Linked DNA regions of Daphnia pulex. The protein of the gene in region 1 interacts with the protein of each later gene in a biochemical or structural test. Links are inferred from orthologs where the notes say so. Each region holds a gene or a part of one and is shown in the gene's direction. Other genes may lie near its edges. The genes, in order: coatomer subunit beta-like and coatomer subunit delta-like.

What was found.
Region 2: the proteins of coatomer subunit beta-like (region 1) and coatomer subunit delta-like form a complex in vitro, tested with the Homo sapiens proteins (2 studies listed by BioGRID). The link is inferred for Daphnia pulex from reciprocal best matches to the Homo sapiens genes COPB1 and ARCN1.

Annotation. Positions count from the first base shown.
Region 1 is NC_060020.1:2,116,579-2,124,009, reverse strand, and holds coatomer subunit beta-like, read left to right. Parts: upstream 1-2,572; 5' UTR 2,573-2,724; intron 2,725-2,879; coding exon 2,880-3,260; intron 3,261-3,324; coding exon 3,325-3,585; intron 3,586-3,648; coding exon 3,649-3,841; intron 3,842-3,911; coding exon 3,912-4,030; intron 4,031-4,088; coding exon 4,089-4,217; intron 4,218-4,281; coding exon 4,282-4,544; intron 4,545-4,616; coding exon 4,617-4,928; intron 4,929-4,991; coding exon 4,992-5,214; intron 5,215-5,274; coding exon 5,275-5,787; intron 5,788-5,863; coding exon 5,864-6,105; intron 6,106-6,168; coding exon 6,169-6,427; 3' UTR 6,428-6,644; downstream 6,645-7,431. Other genes in the region: uncharacterized protein LOC124192347, read right to left, coding at 1-439, 511-715, 775-999, 1,259-1,325; START domain-containing protein 10-like, read right to left, coding at 6,757-6,840, 6,910-7,032, 7,105-7,232, 7,293-7,431. UniProt on the Homo sapiens protein: The coatomer is a cytosolic protein complex that binds to dilysine motifs and reversibly associates with Golgi non-clathrin-coated vesicles, which further mediate biosynthetic protein transport from the ER, via the Golgi up to the trans Golgi network.
Region 2 is NC_060022.1:6,326,837-6,334,486, forward strand, and holds coatomer subunit delta-like, read left to right. Parts: upstream 1-3,322; 5' UTR 3,323-3,457; coding exon 3,458-3,460; intron 3,461-3,910; coding exon 3,911-3,950; intron 3,951-4,019; coding exon 4,020-4,255; intron 4,256-4,311; coding exon 4,312-4,491; intron 4,492-4,553; coding exon 4,554-4,738; intron 4,739-4,806; coding exon 4,807-4,989; intron 4,990-5,052; coding exon 5,053-5,182; intron 5,183-5,247; coding exon 5,248-5,431; intron 5,432-5,491; coding exon 5,492-5,603; intron 5,604-5,663; coding exon 5,664-5,868; intron 5,869-5,930; coding exon 5,931-6,020; 3' UTR 6,021-6,578; downstream 6,579-7,650. Other genes in the region: uncharacterized protein LOC124195439, read right to left, coding at 29-202, 261-335, 393-620, 683-778, 842-1,105, 1,620-1,622; porphobilinogen deaminase-like, read right to left, coding at 6,772-6,978, 7,046-7,208, 7,270-7,488, 7,551-7,638. UniProt on the Homo sapiens protein: Component of the coatomer, a cytosolic protein complex that binds to dilysine motifs and reversibly associates with Golgi non-clathrin-coated vesicles, which further mediate biosynthetic protein transport from the ER, via the Golgi up to the trans Golgi network.

The DNA of each region.
Region 1 (7,431 bases):
GTTTTCATTGAGCAGCTGAAGATTGTACTCGATAGTGCCGTCGTCGAGCACAACAGGAGATGGCTTTTGGGTCCGATAAAACTGGGTTGCATTAGTCTTCTGTGGTTGTTTAAAATTAAGGGAAATTTCTGTGGCTGTTTCATAATCATCGTCGTCGTCATTCTCTTCTTCAGTTGCTATGATCTCTTTTTCTTCCGAAACAGTGGAAGACTCTTCAGCAATACTTTCGGTTGCGATTTCGATTGCCGCTTCCCCTTCCACATTCGTCTCATCATCATCGACGTCTTCATCACTTTCGGTTGCATCGCTTTCAACTGCTTCCGTTCCGGGATCCCCAGCGGCTCTTTCTGTACGAATTTTCCTTTCCACTTCGGTTGTTTGCGTTTCATTTATTGCAAGGAAAGCCCAAGGAGATATTTTCATGTCCTCGCGAAAGTTGCTAATGACGAGAACAATACAATGTAATGAGTAAATGTATAGAAAGTTTTTAGAAAATTATAATAAACTCACTTCAATTTTAGTGAAAACGTTGATGAATTTTCGTTGGCTAAATTTAGAGACAAACTCTCGAGCATTTCATCCAGAGCTTTGTTCAATTGATCTGTACTAGACGAACGAGCCAAGTATTGAATTGGTTTAAAAATGGGTCGTTTATTCTTTCCGTATCCTTTCTTGTCATTCTGTGGGCGGCGTTTGCGTCCATTGGGTTTTTTACCTAGTGATTCAGAAATATGTACAATATCACTAAATAAAATTGGGACTTTTAAAAATTACCTTTCTTCCTCAGTTGATTAATACGATTCTGACGTCGCTTATTATTTCGACGTTTCTTTTTCCTGCTTTGCCTTCTCTCAACACTTGTAGCTGATGAAATTTCTTCGACATTGACGTCGACTGATTCTACTTGAAGATCCGGAAGTAACAATTTCGTTTCATTCTTTGCATTGATCACGGATGTTTCGATTGTTAGGCTGCCCTCCAAACTTGCGTCTTTTTTCTCTGTATTAGAAAAATGAAATGAAATTTGTTTGTTGCTTGATGAACAAACTTAAGTTAAATTTACAGTTAAAAACTCAACCAAAGTGTTTTTTAACTGAAATTATTTTCAGTTAACGCCCTTTGATGGTAAGGGGCAAGGCACTTGGAAGCGATAGCAATACAATAACAGTTATCAGAAAACTTAGCGTGAGAGTTTCCGAGTAAGGTTATTTGAAGGGTAAAATTACGACATTAACGGACTTTTCAGTGAATTCCTTACCTTCACTGAAATGTGACAAAACAGGCGATACAAACAAAAAAACTAAAAATAGAAGGAACAATCGCATGATGAACTCTCAACAGCGAATGACGACACCCCAATTAAAAATGAACTCGAAAATCAGAAAGTCTTGTATACTGGCCGATGACTTGGAGCCGTCTGTTCACTAACAGCAGTTGTCTTTCTTTATAGCTAGCTGTAACATCATGCTCTGTGGTGCCTGTGAGGAAAAAATCAAATGTCTTTCCGATTGCCGGTGGCGTCAAAAGAAGAAGACCCTAGTTTCCCTCTTACGGGAAAGCGTGATGTTTATCTATCGTGAGGATGGCCTCATTCTACCCACACGCTTTTTTTAAATATAAGATAATTTCTTTTACGTTGAAAATATAACATGTTTGCATTATAAAACGTTTTTTAAAAATTTAAAGATATTTTACTTGAATACTTGAACTTTTTTTAGATGGAAGGCCTACCAACACAAAAAAAACAAATTTTAAGGAAAGATCATCGTAGACGCAACAATGATAGTCGCGGAAATTTCCATGATTCCTTTTGCTCAATGCCTCAGTTAGTTTAAAACGATGAAAATAAATAATAAATGAAAAGTATCCTGAACAAACATAATTACATTTGATGCTAATAACATAAAACATAAATATTTAATATCGATTAGCTATAGGCTACAGTGAGCCGAGCGAACCAACGAAGTAACGACCATATTAAACGTATTAAAGCTGGTAACTACGAAATAGAGATATAACGGCCAGTACCTTCGGATGCTAATCGTTTCCAATTCTAATTTTCTGTGATTAATGGCAAGACGATTAATATGCAATCTGCATATTGTGAAGCAGTGAAGGTATGGAGATTGTGGCCATCTGCACATTCTATTTCGAACGAACATTTCTATTATCAAATAACTAAGAACAAATTGTATCGTCTCTTAAAGGCTTTGCCGATTAAATGGACGAAAAATTCTAACTAACTCCCATCAAAATACCTTTACACATTGAAAACAAACTGACCATTGCCGAAGATGGAGACGTGACTGGTGCTGGTCTTCAAACCTGCTTCAAACGTGTCGAAGAAGTTCACAGTGGTTCAGAGAAACATGGGTGACGATGACTAGGCAGTTGACACATTGTTTATCCGGGAAACCCACAAAAACTCTTGTTTTGATGGTACAGAGAGAGAGTATGCCTGGAAAATCTGGAAACCAACACAAGCTGGGACTGAATATCTATTTTGAATAAAAATAACAAAAAAACAACGTCAAAATTAAAACTCATAATGGCAACATGGCTGCGTGGTTGTCAATTTTACGAATTAAGATCTGTCGCTTACCGACTGACGTGGGTATTTTCTGACATTCTGCAACGTCAAAGGTTTCGTGAATTTCCTTCGTTTCATATAGTTACGGCTCACACAGAAAACACAACAAGCCGTTGTAATACAAAGAAATCAAGGCAAGTCATCCGACATTTTGGAATCGTTATTCAGTGTTCAACAAATACCATCGTTATAGATTTCGAATGGGTTGCGGGTCGCTGTCACAATAACATTTCATCGAGCGTAAACCGGTCCAAGTTTTCACGATTCATGTATTGTTTTGTTTTTACAGATGTCTGTGACTGAGCAACCTTGTTATACCCTCATCAGTACTCCAGATTCTGACTATCCACCTCCAGATCAGCTGCGAAAAGAGTTGGAAATTGGAGATATCAAAGCCAAGATTGATGCTTTAAAAAAGGCCATTTACATAATTTTAAATGGAGAAAAGATTCCAGGAATCCTCATGGCAGTGGTCAAATTTGTGCTGCCACTTCAGGATCATAATGTCAAGAAACTTCTGTTGATATTCTGGGAAATCATTCCAAAGACTTCAGCAGATGGAAAACTCTTGCATGAAATGATTCTCGTCTGTGATGCTTACAGGAGAGATTTGCAACATCCAAATGAATTTATTAGAGGATCAACATTACGTTTTCTTTGCAAGCTTAAGGTAAGCCAATTTCTTTTATACCTTAATTTATTGATAAGCTAATCTTTTGTAATTTACTTTTTAGGAACCTGAAATCTTAGAACCGTTGATGCCATCGATCAGGTCGTGTTTGGAGCACCGACATTCTTACGTTCGACGCAATGCTGTTTTGGCAATTTACACAATTTACCGCAATTTTGATTTCCTCATTCCTGACGGGCCAGAATTGATTGCCAATTTTCTAGAACGTGAACAGGACATGTCCTGTAAACGTAATGCATTCATGATGTTGATTCACGCTGACCAAGAAAGGGCGCTCTCCTATCTTACCTCTTGCATCGATCAAGTAATAGAACTATTTTAAGGTTTCCAATTTCCAAACAAACTTAAGGAAAACAAAATCTGTTAGGTTCACTCCTTCGGTGATATTCTGCAATTGGTCATCGTTGAACTTATCTACAAAGTGTGTCACGCCAATCCTAGTGAGCGATCGCGTTTCATTCGTTGTATCTACAGTCTCTTGAATGCCACCAGTCCGGCCGTTCGCTACGAAGCTGCTGGCACTCTAGTAACCTTATCGTCCGCACCGTCGGCTATTAAAGGTATTATTCATATTCACTAATATTTAATTTGGGTTTCCAACTTAATATGTTTTCTCTTCTTCTTGAACAGCTGCTGCTAGTTGCTACATCGAAATTATCTTAAAGGAAAGCGACAATAATGTGAAGTTGATTGTGCTGGATCGTTTGATCGCCTTGAAAGAGCAGCCGAATCAAGAACGTGTCTTGCAGGTATCTTGAATTTAATCATTCACATGTTACAAAATATTAATTATGTAATTCATTTCAGGAATTGGTGATGGACATCTTGCGGGTATTGGCTACTCCAGATTTGGAAGTACGAAAGAAGACACTATCCCTTATACTTGATTTAGTGTCTTCGCGAAACATAGAAGATATCGTGCTCGTTTTGAAAAAGGTAAGAATTCCGGTGAAATGGTAAATCGATAGGAATAATTTTCTATTGATGAATTATCTTGTAGGAGGTAACAAAGACGCACAACACAACCGAGCATGAAGATACGGGAAAGTATCGGCAACTTTTGGTGCGCACTCTTCACTCGTGTTGCATCAAGTTTCCTGACATTTCTGCGACCGTCATCCCTGTACTGACTGAATTCCTTTCCGACACCAACGAGCTAGCAGCCGCCGATGTTTTGGTCTTTGTTCGCGAAGCGATTCAGAAGTTCGAAGGACTTCGTCCATTAATCATCGAAAAACTTTTAGAAGCCTTTCTTTCCATCAAGTAAGTTTAAATAACTCCATTTCGTTTTTACTGGCAGCAATTCTACATTAGATGTTTTTTTTTTTTTCAAAGATCCGTCAAGGTGCACCGTGCAGCAATTTGGATCTTGGGCGAATACGCCACTTCGGCTGATGACATTCGTTCAGTTATGTCCAAAGTGCGACAATCGCTTGGCGAAATTCCAATCGTGGATGACGAAATCCGAAAAGCAGCAGGAGAGCAGACCGATCCGGAAAATCCTTTAGCACAGGGAACTGGGAGCGTTACTAATCCTGTTGCTTCTAGCGCCCGCTTGGTAACTGCAGATGGTACATACGCTACGCAGTCTATCTTCAGTGCTGCCGTAACAACCGCCAAAAAAGAAGAAAGGCCTCCTCTTCGAAAGTATGTCAATTCTGTTGATGTCGTTCCATTTAGCATTGCATTCATAATTAAATTTCTTTGTAGATATCTGATGGAAGGCGATTTCTTCATTGGTGCATCAATGGCTACAACTATGACAAAGCTGGCCTTACGTTTTGTTCAACAAGTGTCGAACCCGCAAACGCAAAACCAGTTTTGTGCCGAAGCCATGCTAGTGATTGCAGCGATTCTTCATTTGGGTCGTTCGGGACTGCCTCAGAAACCAATTAGCAATGACGATGCTGAAAGATTGGGGCTTTGCCTTAAGGTAAGTTATCAATGGTAAAAAATGAGTGAACCCCCATTACAATTTTCTTTTTCGACATAGGTGCTCTCGGATCGATCACCGATTTTAGTAGAAGTATTTACCGATGCCTGCCGTAGATCCATTTCACTTATGTTAGCTGCCAAAGCTGAGGAAGAAGCTGCTGCCCAAAAGAACTTAGAAAAGAACAGCCGATCAATCCAAGCCGACGACTTGGTCTCTTTCAAGCAACTGCTTTCACGCAATGAACTTGGTGGCCTCGAAGACGTATTTGAATCAAGTTTGTCGCAAGCTTTGGTAGGATCCGCTCAGCGAACTGGATTAGATCTGAGCGTCTCAAAACTGAACAAGGTGACGCAGTTGACTGGTTTCTCTGATCCTGTATACGCCGAAGCGTACGTAAACGTGAACCAATACGACATCGTACTTGATGTTTTGATTGTCAATCAAACGGCTGACACCCTTCAAAACTGCACGTTGGAATTGGCAACTCTCGGTGATCTGAAACTGGTAGAAAAGCCTTCGGCTATCATTTTGGCTCCGCACGATTTCGCCAACATTAAGGCCAGCGTTAAGGTATGCTCTTTTTAATTATTACTAAATGAATTATTACTAATTGTTTTTCATGCCTGTATTTATCCATTAATTAAAGGTGGCATCGACGGAGAATGGTATTATCTTTGGAAATATAGTCTATGATGTTACTGGCTCGACATCGGACCGTAACGTCGTGGTACTGAATGACATTCACATTGATATCATGGACTATATCATGCCTGCCAGCTGCACTGATGCTGAATTCCGACAGATGTGGGCTGATTTCGAATGGGAGAACAAAGTCACCGTCAATACTAATATCAACGATCTAAATCTTTATTTGCAACATCTGCTCAAGTAAGTGGGATCATTTCTTTTGTCCTTCTAAATTTCCTAGTATAAATTAATTTCTTTGTGTAGATCGACAAATATGAAGTGTCTGACTCCAGAGAAGGCACTAGCTGGTGATTGTGGATTCATGGCAGCCAACTTGTATGCTCGTTCAGTCTTTGGAGAAGATGCGTTAGCTAATCTCAGTTTAGAGAAACCATTCGGTAAACCCGACGCACCAGTTACAGGACACATTCGAATTCGTGCCAAGAGTCAAGGAATGGCTCTCAGTCTCGGCGACAAAATTAACACGATTCAAAAGGCTTCTGTAAAGTCTCCTGTGGCTTAAAATGTAATTGTAGAATTTTCCTCTACAATTATTTCCATACTTTTTTCATTCATTTTCTATGATTCAAAACTTTTCCCAAATTCAAATGTCTATTTGTTGCAAGTATTTTCCCCTCATCTACATTCTTTTAGAAATATTTGGAATGCAGTTGTTACTTGATTAGTTTTGCATCATCAATATAACTGTGGGCTGTTATATTAAAATGTAGTTCACAATTGCTGCTCTTTGCATATAAAATTAATCAATGCATGCAAATACGGAACTTTGAGATAGGACCAAAATTAAATTAAAACTAGCATACTTGTGCGCGATATTGGGAAATGCTTAACTTAAATTGACGCCATTTCTTTGCTGTCTCGATTGTTCCCTTTGTCGTTCAACATAATCTTGTTAGCACCATTTACAGTGGTGTTCTACATATTTTAAAATCACGAAAGTTAAACAGGCGTTAAATAGGACAAAGCATTTAAATTTCACATTACTTGGTCGACTAGTAGTTTTGGATAGTCCATCTGTTCAGGATACAGCCATGGCTTAAAACCCGGACTATGTAGCTGTTTCCATTCTAAATATCCCCGACATGCTTTGTGCAACGTTTTCATCATCTATAGTAGATTCCAGGAAACAACTTCACAGTTATTAACTTTCTGCTTTCAATAAATTTTTATTTCTATTACCTTTGGTGCAAAATATTGAGTGCCTTTATTGACGGCCCAAGTGGGAATTGCTCCTCTGGGATCAGTTGCAGACACATATGCGAGTGTCAGGCCCTTGGATTTCCCCGGTAAAGGTTCAATTACGTAGCCTATGCAGAACAACTTTGCGGTTAAGTATTGCTGTGAAAAAGAATTTGTGAAAAAGAAACCTGTTATGTAGGATATTCCTCTGACGAAATATTTTTTGGGGGGAAGGTCTTTGTGCGTAATGGAATGATTTAGGATAGAAATTTTCTTGGGAGTGGCTAACCACGAACGTTGAAGGACGAAATCGCGGTTCTGAATCGG
Region 2 (7,650 bases), on another chromosome or scaffold:
CATCTCGCAGAGAAGAAAGCACATCTACCTGACTGCCGCTATCGCCTCCGCTGCTATCCGCGCACACATCTGACTGACCATCCGTACCCGCGCTGTTCTCCCGAGATGCTGAGGAACAAGGCGGAGTCAACGGCATTGAGGTAATGCTAGCATAAGAAGCATAGTGCGATGCTTGATGGCCGGCTGGGATCGGACTTCCGGTCTGTACAAACAATGTCAATACCACTCGATTGTAATAATTTAATCTGATCAACAATTACCTGGACATATGGCTGGAATCCAGGAGAGACGAAATAATGACCGCTAGAGGACGACGAGTATTGATGGCATTGCGCCTAGAAGTAAATGAATTAAGTTAATGTAAATCCATTACACCAATTAGTTAAAAATACCATGGCGTATTGATGAGGCAGACGGCAAATGACAGCAGTCTGGTACATTGCATTGTTGCTGGCATCAACCTGCATGTGATCGACTGACTGGTTTTGGTCGGTAGGCGATACTACTCCCGTATTAGTAGTGTACATGGTGTTAACATTCGGTACTGGCACAGAAGTGGCATAAAACGGATTATGGGCGAGCCGGTTTGGAGTCTGATAATAGCTATTCGAATTAGCCGGCTATACAAAAGTCGGTAAATAAAGTTGATAAGAATTGTTAAAAAGTATTTGCAAATGTTTACCAGTGGATTGTGATTGTTACTGTTAGCCCGTTTGACTGCTGGAGCAACGTTAAGCTTGCGATCTCCCCACATTACAGAATCATTTTGCACTGACGCCTATAAAATGTACACACTCTTGCATAACATAACAATAAATCAAGATAATGACATAGCAATTACTTGTATGGCTCTCCTGGCATCTGCTTCACTGAAGAAAGTGACGAATCCATAAGATTTGTTGCGGGCGTGTTCTGGTATGATTTTGACATCTCGTATCTTACCGAAGCGATTAAATAGCATAATAAGGTCACGCTCGACCAAATTTGGAGGGATGTTGCCCACAAAAACTCTATTTGAAATCAGCCGCCCAGGTGTGTTGGGCGTCGCTGATGCGGATGACTCATGCTGTCGGGTGATTCCACTGTGGGTTGCAACTTTTTCCAACTGTCGATAGAAAAATAAACCAAAATTTACTCTAATATAAGAAAACCGAGCACGTGGTCGTACAAAATTGGGATGTCAATTGAACGACCTTGAGTCGACAGTTTCCTGTAAAGAGAAGGGGAAAGGAAAACACGCGCCGGTTAGAAGATGTCCACTCCCCCCTCCCCATTGCAGACCAAGAAACATAAAATATTAAAGCAAGGCCACATCACTGTAATTTACTTATCTCCCTCTTCCCAAGCAAAACATTCCACATTTCAACAACTTGAGTCGAAACTTGCAAGAAAAAAAAAACACGTACAGCCATCAGTTTGACATTAGTTGACTTAAGTTAAACTCTGATCACACTTTACGTCATCAAGTTAAAATGGAGGCCATAGTGAACTGTAACGGAAAAAAGAGTTGACCTGATGACAGGCAATCGACTTAATTACATATTCTAACGAAGAATTTAGCCCGATTCTTAACACGAATCACATCGAAGAAATACTCAAATGAAAAAGTAGAAACTTACCATGATTCAAGTTGACCGGATAAATGATCAGAGCTCAGTCACGTGTGTATGGCCGGCGCGTGCGAGAAAGATTTAACGAGTCGTTGCACCACCACCTTCAAAGTCTCAGAATCAACTGTTCAGAAAAAAAGCAGAGAGGTCGATCCTTTTCGAGCCGATATCCCATCCACCGATTTCCCCAGGTCTTTTCCTCTCCATTCCTCTTTTCCGTTGGGCCAATCATGGGCGACCAGCAATTTTGAAAAACACTGCGGTCTCTTATGGCAACTCTGTGGGGCTTTGATTTCATTCAAAATTAATTAAGTTAAGCTATTTATAATTCGGAAATTCAAATACATGTTAACTGTAGTCGCGAGATGTTGCGCTTTGAATCGTTAATTACAAGGAATCTGCATTGCATTAATTCATTTTGATTTTTACAATAGTATTCGTTTCCATTTATTTTAAATGCATTCTTCTGGTATCGGAATGGATCAAAATGAACTCGTTCTACTGCTCCTATATCGTGATTTGGAGGGGATAATAAAATACTTTTTCTTTCTCCGAGATGTAGAAGTGTCTAGAGAAAAAAAAATCTGAGTTGCGTAGCTCCTCCTCCTCCAGGGGGAGGAGAAGTCTCTACCACACTCCGTTAGGACGAATGTGACGTGATCTGGTGATCATAATGACACTCGATTGCGTGATCGCAAATCTTAACTGTCGCCTGTCGGACACTCGATGGGTTGAATAAATGAATACAAATAAATCTAATTCATTTCTGTTAACCAGATAAGAATTTTCAATACAATCAGTAGTTTTTATATCCTCTAATTGTATTTAATGTAAAACAGGTACCTTATAATTATTAATTAATGCCCAATCTTTCAGAAATTTAAACAAGAAAATCTGAATCATTTTATTTATTTCATGTCGCTTCTAAGCTATAAGAAACAAAATTTATTGAAAAAAAACGTGACACGATACAACAAAAAAGTTCTAGTCGATTTCGGAGACTCATTTTCGTTGCAAAAGCACTTTCTGTTTCTGTTATTTAGCTCTTGTGGGCATTTTACCAAAATCGCCAAATATAGAATAATGGTTGAAATGGGTTGGCCTGCACATACAGCGAATAAATCCTCTCACTATTTTCCCATTATCATGTTAAGATCCTTTCACAATAGTTCACCGTAGTTTTCGTCATGGGTTCAGCAATCAGGTAATCATAAAGTAAACAATGACAGCCTCAGACTTATACGGAGAAAGTGGTTGCATGCTACAAATTCGACAGATAGACGCAAATTCGTTAACCAACTAAATTCGTTAACCAACTAAATTCGTTTTCGTTAACTTGAACATTTTATTCGGATTATTTTTCGAGTAGCATTAAACAGAAAATACATTAAAAAAAATCCTTTTTGTGTGGACTGGAGTTGAGTAAAAAGGAGTAGTTATGAGATCATTTTCGAGACTTGCCTTGACTAGTTGTTTTGAGTCGTTTTGCCGAATTTCTGATGTCACATGCGAATATGCGATCTTGCCGAACTCAATCGAACATTTTACCCATCATAATGTTGTTTCCTTTGTTTTACTTTGAAAGCAATAACTCAGTGAAACACGCAGAAAATTATGATGCATTCGAATACCAAAATATTTACCGCCAGACATCAATCAGCCATTGCCAGAAACGGGCCCTTGCTTCAGTTTTATTTATTTTTCAATTTGAAAATGGCAACCCTGGAAAAACAGTTGACGATCCACGTCATCTTGTGCCGTCAGTTCTTAGGATCTTGAATCCTCCCTGAAAAGTTGTGGTAAAAGGGGTCCGATAAAGTCTTTAGGAGCCTTTAATCTGCGCAATAATGGTATGATCAACGAACCTAAGTGTTTTTAATTTTATGAAAATATTTACTATGGGCGTTGTTGAAGTTGTCATTGGGGTTGCACAACCGGCCCATCTGACATTTGGCTAAACTTTCGTCTACGTGGATATTTTATTATGATTTCTTCAATAGTGCTTTACATCATCAAAATAACTTAAAACATTTCAATCATATAACTATGATTAACTTTGATTGTTAGGACATGCATTCTAGTATACCAGACTACTTCGGAAAGCTAGCAATACATTTTGATTTCTGAAAGATTGTGTGCTGTATCTTTAGCAACAGTAGCCTAGAAAACATGGGCTTTTAATATCGTTGAAGCAATACCAAGTTGCCAATGTTATTTCGCAACAAAAAATATGTTTGTTGTCATTTCTGTGATTTTGTTCCACTTGTGACACTTGTTCATTAATTTTCATTATTATTCAGGTTCTCATTGCAGCTGCTGTTTGCACCAAGGGTGGAAAAGGTGTGTTGCAAAGTTTTACAAAAATGATGCATAAAATAATAGAAATGACTTTTTTTTTCTCAATTACAGCCTTGGTGTCAAGACAGTTTGTGGAGATGACCAAATCCAGAATAGAAGGTCTCTTAGCTGCCTTTCCTAAACTAATGTCTTCAGGAAAAGCTGCTCAACAACAACACACTTTTGTTGAAACAGAATCGGTTAGATATGTTTATCAACCTTTAGACAAAGTGTATGTATTACTTATCACAACGAGGGCATCCAATATCTTGGAGGATTTAGAAACTTTACGTCTTTTCGCTCGTGTGGTAATAATTTATAAGATCTTCTCATTAGTAGGTTTGCTAACATTAAATTCATGTAGGTACCTGAATATTGCCGCACTTTTGAAGAATCCGAAATCCGGGAAAATGCCTTCAATTTGATATTTGCCTTTGACGAAATCGTTGCTCTTGGCTATCGCGAAAACGTTAATTTGGCTCAAATTCGAACATTTGTCGAAATGGATTCACACGAAGAGAAAGTCTACCAGGCTGTTAGACAGGTTTGGATTTTCTCATTTAAGTAGTTGTTTGGTCTTATTTCACTATTTTTTTCCCCATAAAGACACAAGAACGAGATGCCAAGATGAAAATGCGAGAGAAAGCCAAAGAATTGCAGAGACAGCGAGTTGAATCTAATAAAAGGGGCATCAAGTCTCCCATTTCATCTTCTGGAGGTTACGGGCCATCTCCCATGGCTGCTTCGATTCCGACTGAGCCTCCTAAGCCAACTTATCAACCAGCTGTTGTGTAAGTGAATTCGCTAATTATTTTTCCGCTCAACTAGTTCTTAACTGACAGCGTGGTACTTTTCTTAGAAAACCTAATGGCCCGAGCAAAGCCCTCAAGCTTGGGGGCCGTCTGAAGGACGCCGAAATATTTGTTGACCAACTAAAATCAGAAGGCGAGAATGTAAACTCGTTCCAGTCCCCCGCTTCCGTAGTCCAAGGTGGTTCTGTGAGCTCAAACAAACTGCCGCCATCAACCATCGCTACCGAACCGTAATTTACAATACCTCAATGCTTATTAAAATTTAACGCTTGACTGTAATTTCTTTTATCCAGAGTCCAACTTCGAATAGAAGAAAAGCTTAGCCTCAGTTGTGGACGTGACGGTGGATTACACAACATGGAAATTCATGGCTTACTAACACTTTTTATTACTGATGAGACTTACGGTCGAGTCCGCGTACAGGTAAAATGATTTCCTTTGCATTGTGTTTATTTTCTTTTTTCAAAATTCGACTGATTTATCCATAGGTGGAGAACAGAGATAGTCGCGGAATTCAAATTCAAACTCATCCTAACGTTGACAAGGAACTATTTCGCACTAAGCAGCACATTGCATTGAAGAATGCCACAAAACCGTTCCCATTGAATACGGATGTTGGTGTACTTAAGTGGCGTTTCCAAACACAAGACGAAAATATGATTCCACTGAACAGTAATTCATCATCTTAATTACGTTGTCTGGCAAAATTTAATGATTTAAAAAAAATTATAGTTAATTGCTGGCCAGCTGAAAACGGACGTGGAGGCTGTGACGTTAATATTGAATTCGAACTTCAAGATGATCGATTAGAGCTGAACGACGTTGTCATTGTCATTCCGTTGCCGTAAGACTTTTTTCTATTAGGCTCTAGGTGCAACTCATCATCTTTCGTTTATTCGTGTAGTCATGGTTGCGGAGCACCGAATGTTTCCGAGTGTGAAGGAGAGTATCAGTATGAACCAAGGAAAAATCAGCTTTCGTGGCAACTCCCCGTTGTGGACTCTTCCAATAAAAGTGGAGCTATGGAGTTTTCATGTCAGGGCCATGCGAATGACTTCTTCCCAATCAATGTCAACTTCTATTCGAAGCGCTCCTATGCTGAAATATCGGTACGGTTGCAATCTGTGTTTATTTATTCCATTTGTCTACAATTTTCCCATTTTCGTTGTAGGTAAATGATGTCGTACTAGTAGATGACGGCACATCGGTGAAGTATGCGGCCGATTCCAATTTTTTTACGGAGAAGTACGAAATCCTTTGAATGTTTTGCTTCTGAAATCCGTGGAAGTAGCAAAGTGTTCGTGATTTTGCCAGTTGCCCCTCACCCCCTGTCGTTAGCGTCAACACAAACAAACTGATGAACTCCTTGACTGTCAACTGGAGGAGAGGGGTGAGGAATGAGAAAGACTTTAGGTTACCATCTGTGGTTAATATTTAATGCCAACGTGCAGTTCGTTTTTCCCGTCTCTGAATCGATTCAACCTCCTCAAATTCACCCTTTTTTCTCCCACCTTTCATAACAAAGCAATTTAAAGCGCTGAAGTTTGTTGAGCCGCCCAGTAAATATGATATATTGAAATCTAAAAGTTTTTTCTTCCTTTTTTTCTACGTGCATATATCTTTGAATCAGCAGCGGCACTCATGTTTGGGCGTGTTTTCTTTTCTCTTTTCTTTCATCTCTTTTTCTTTCTCCGTTTGTTTATGTTTTCGATCAGTTAAGAGTTCAGAAAACTCTTATCATGTGTTGTCGTTGGAACAGTGTACACTGCTGGGGTTGCATGGCATACAGTATATCAATTAAAAGCTGTATTATTTCCAAGTCTTCTGGATTTCTCATACCTTGTTATCTTGCTTGCTTTTTTATCTATGAAATATTAGCCTAGCTTAAAGAAGAAGAAGGAAAGAAACAGCATTGAAAATTAACAAACCACATCTGTATTCAAAGCTTTACCCACAATTTTACTTCCTTTTACTATGTACGTTTGACTAAGAGAAGATAAAAATCCGCGCATCTATTTGGATGGGCGTACATTAGCAGCTACCAAATTGCGATTTTCAGTCTCTTTTTTCGCTTCGTCAAGTATAACTCCTCCTCCCAATGAGACGATTTTTCCGGCCAAGGATACGCCCAACCATTCCGCCAGGGCCAAGCGAGAATTGCCAACACTAGAACTTACAACAGCAGTGTATGATGCAGCTGGTGGAACATCTTCGATATCCTAAATTAATTATGTGATAAGTTATAATGATGCATGTTAATTTTTAATGAAGTTAGAGTAAACATACAACTAGCTCCACTTCCAATGACTGGGTGACGTTTTGTTTCCCATCCAAACTCCATACACCACCCTTAAGGTAGAGCATATCTCCAACTAGACGAGATTCCACAGCCACCGGTGCTGAGCAGCCTCCTTCCAGTGTTCGAAGGAATGCACGTTCAGCAACGCAACTGCAATAGTTGTATAAAATATGATGTGATGTAATATAACGATGAATAGAATTTTACTTACACTAGTAGCGTGTTAGCGTGGCTAAATGGTGCTAAAAGTTGACGAGTAGCAATATCATCTTGGCGGCACTCGATCCCGAGTGCACCTTGGCCAATGGCGTACATGCTCACGTCCGTATCAAGATATTCTGAAATACGCGATTCCCAGTTCATTCGCTTGACTCCAGCTGTCGCTAAAATGAGTGCAGCATACGTTCCTTCGTCGTCTAATTTGCGTAGTCTATCACAGAAACTCGCGATTAATGACGAAAGATTTTATCTATCGGCGAAATTATATTATACCTTGTGTTTAAATTTCCCCTTACGTCTTGGATTGCAAGGTGGGGAAAGTGGCGCTTCAATTGAGCTGCTCGGCGCAACGAACTCGTTCCTAATAAATAAT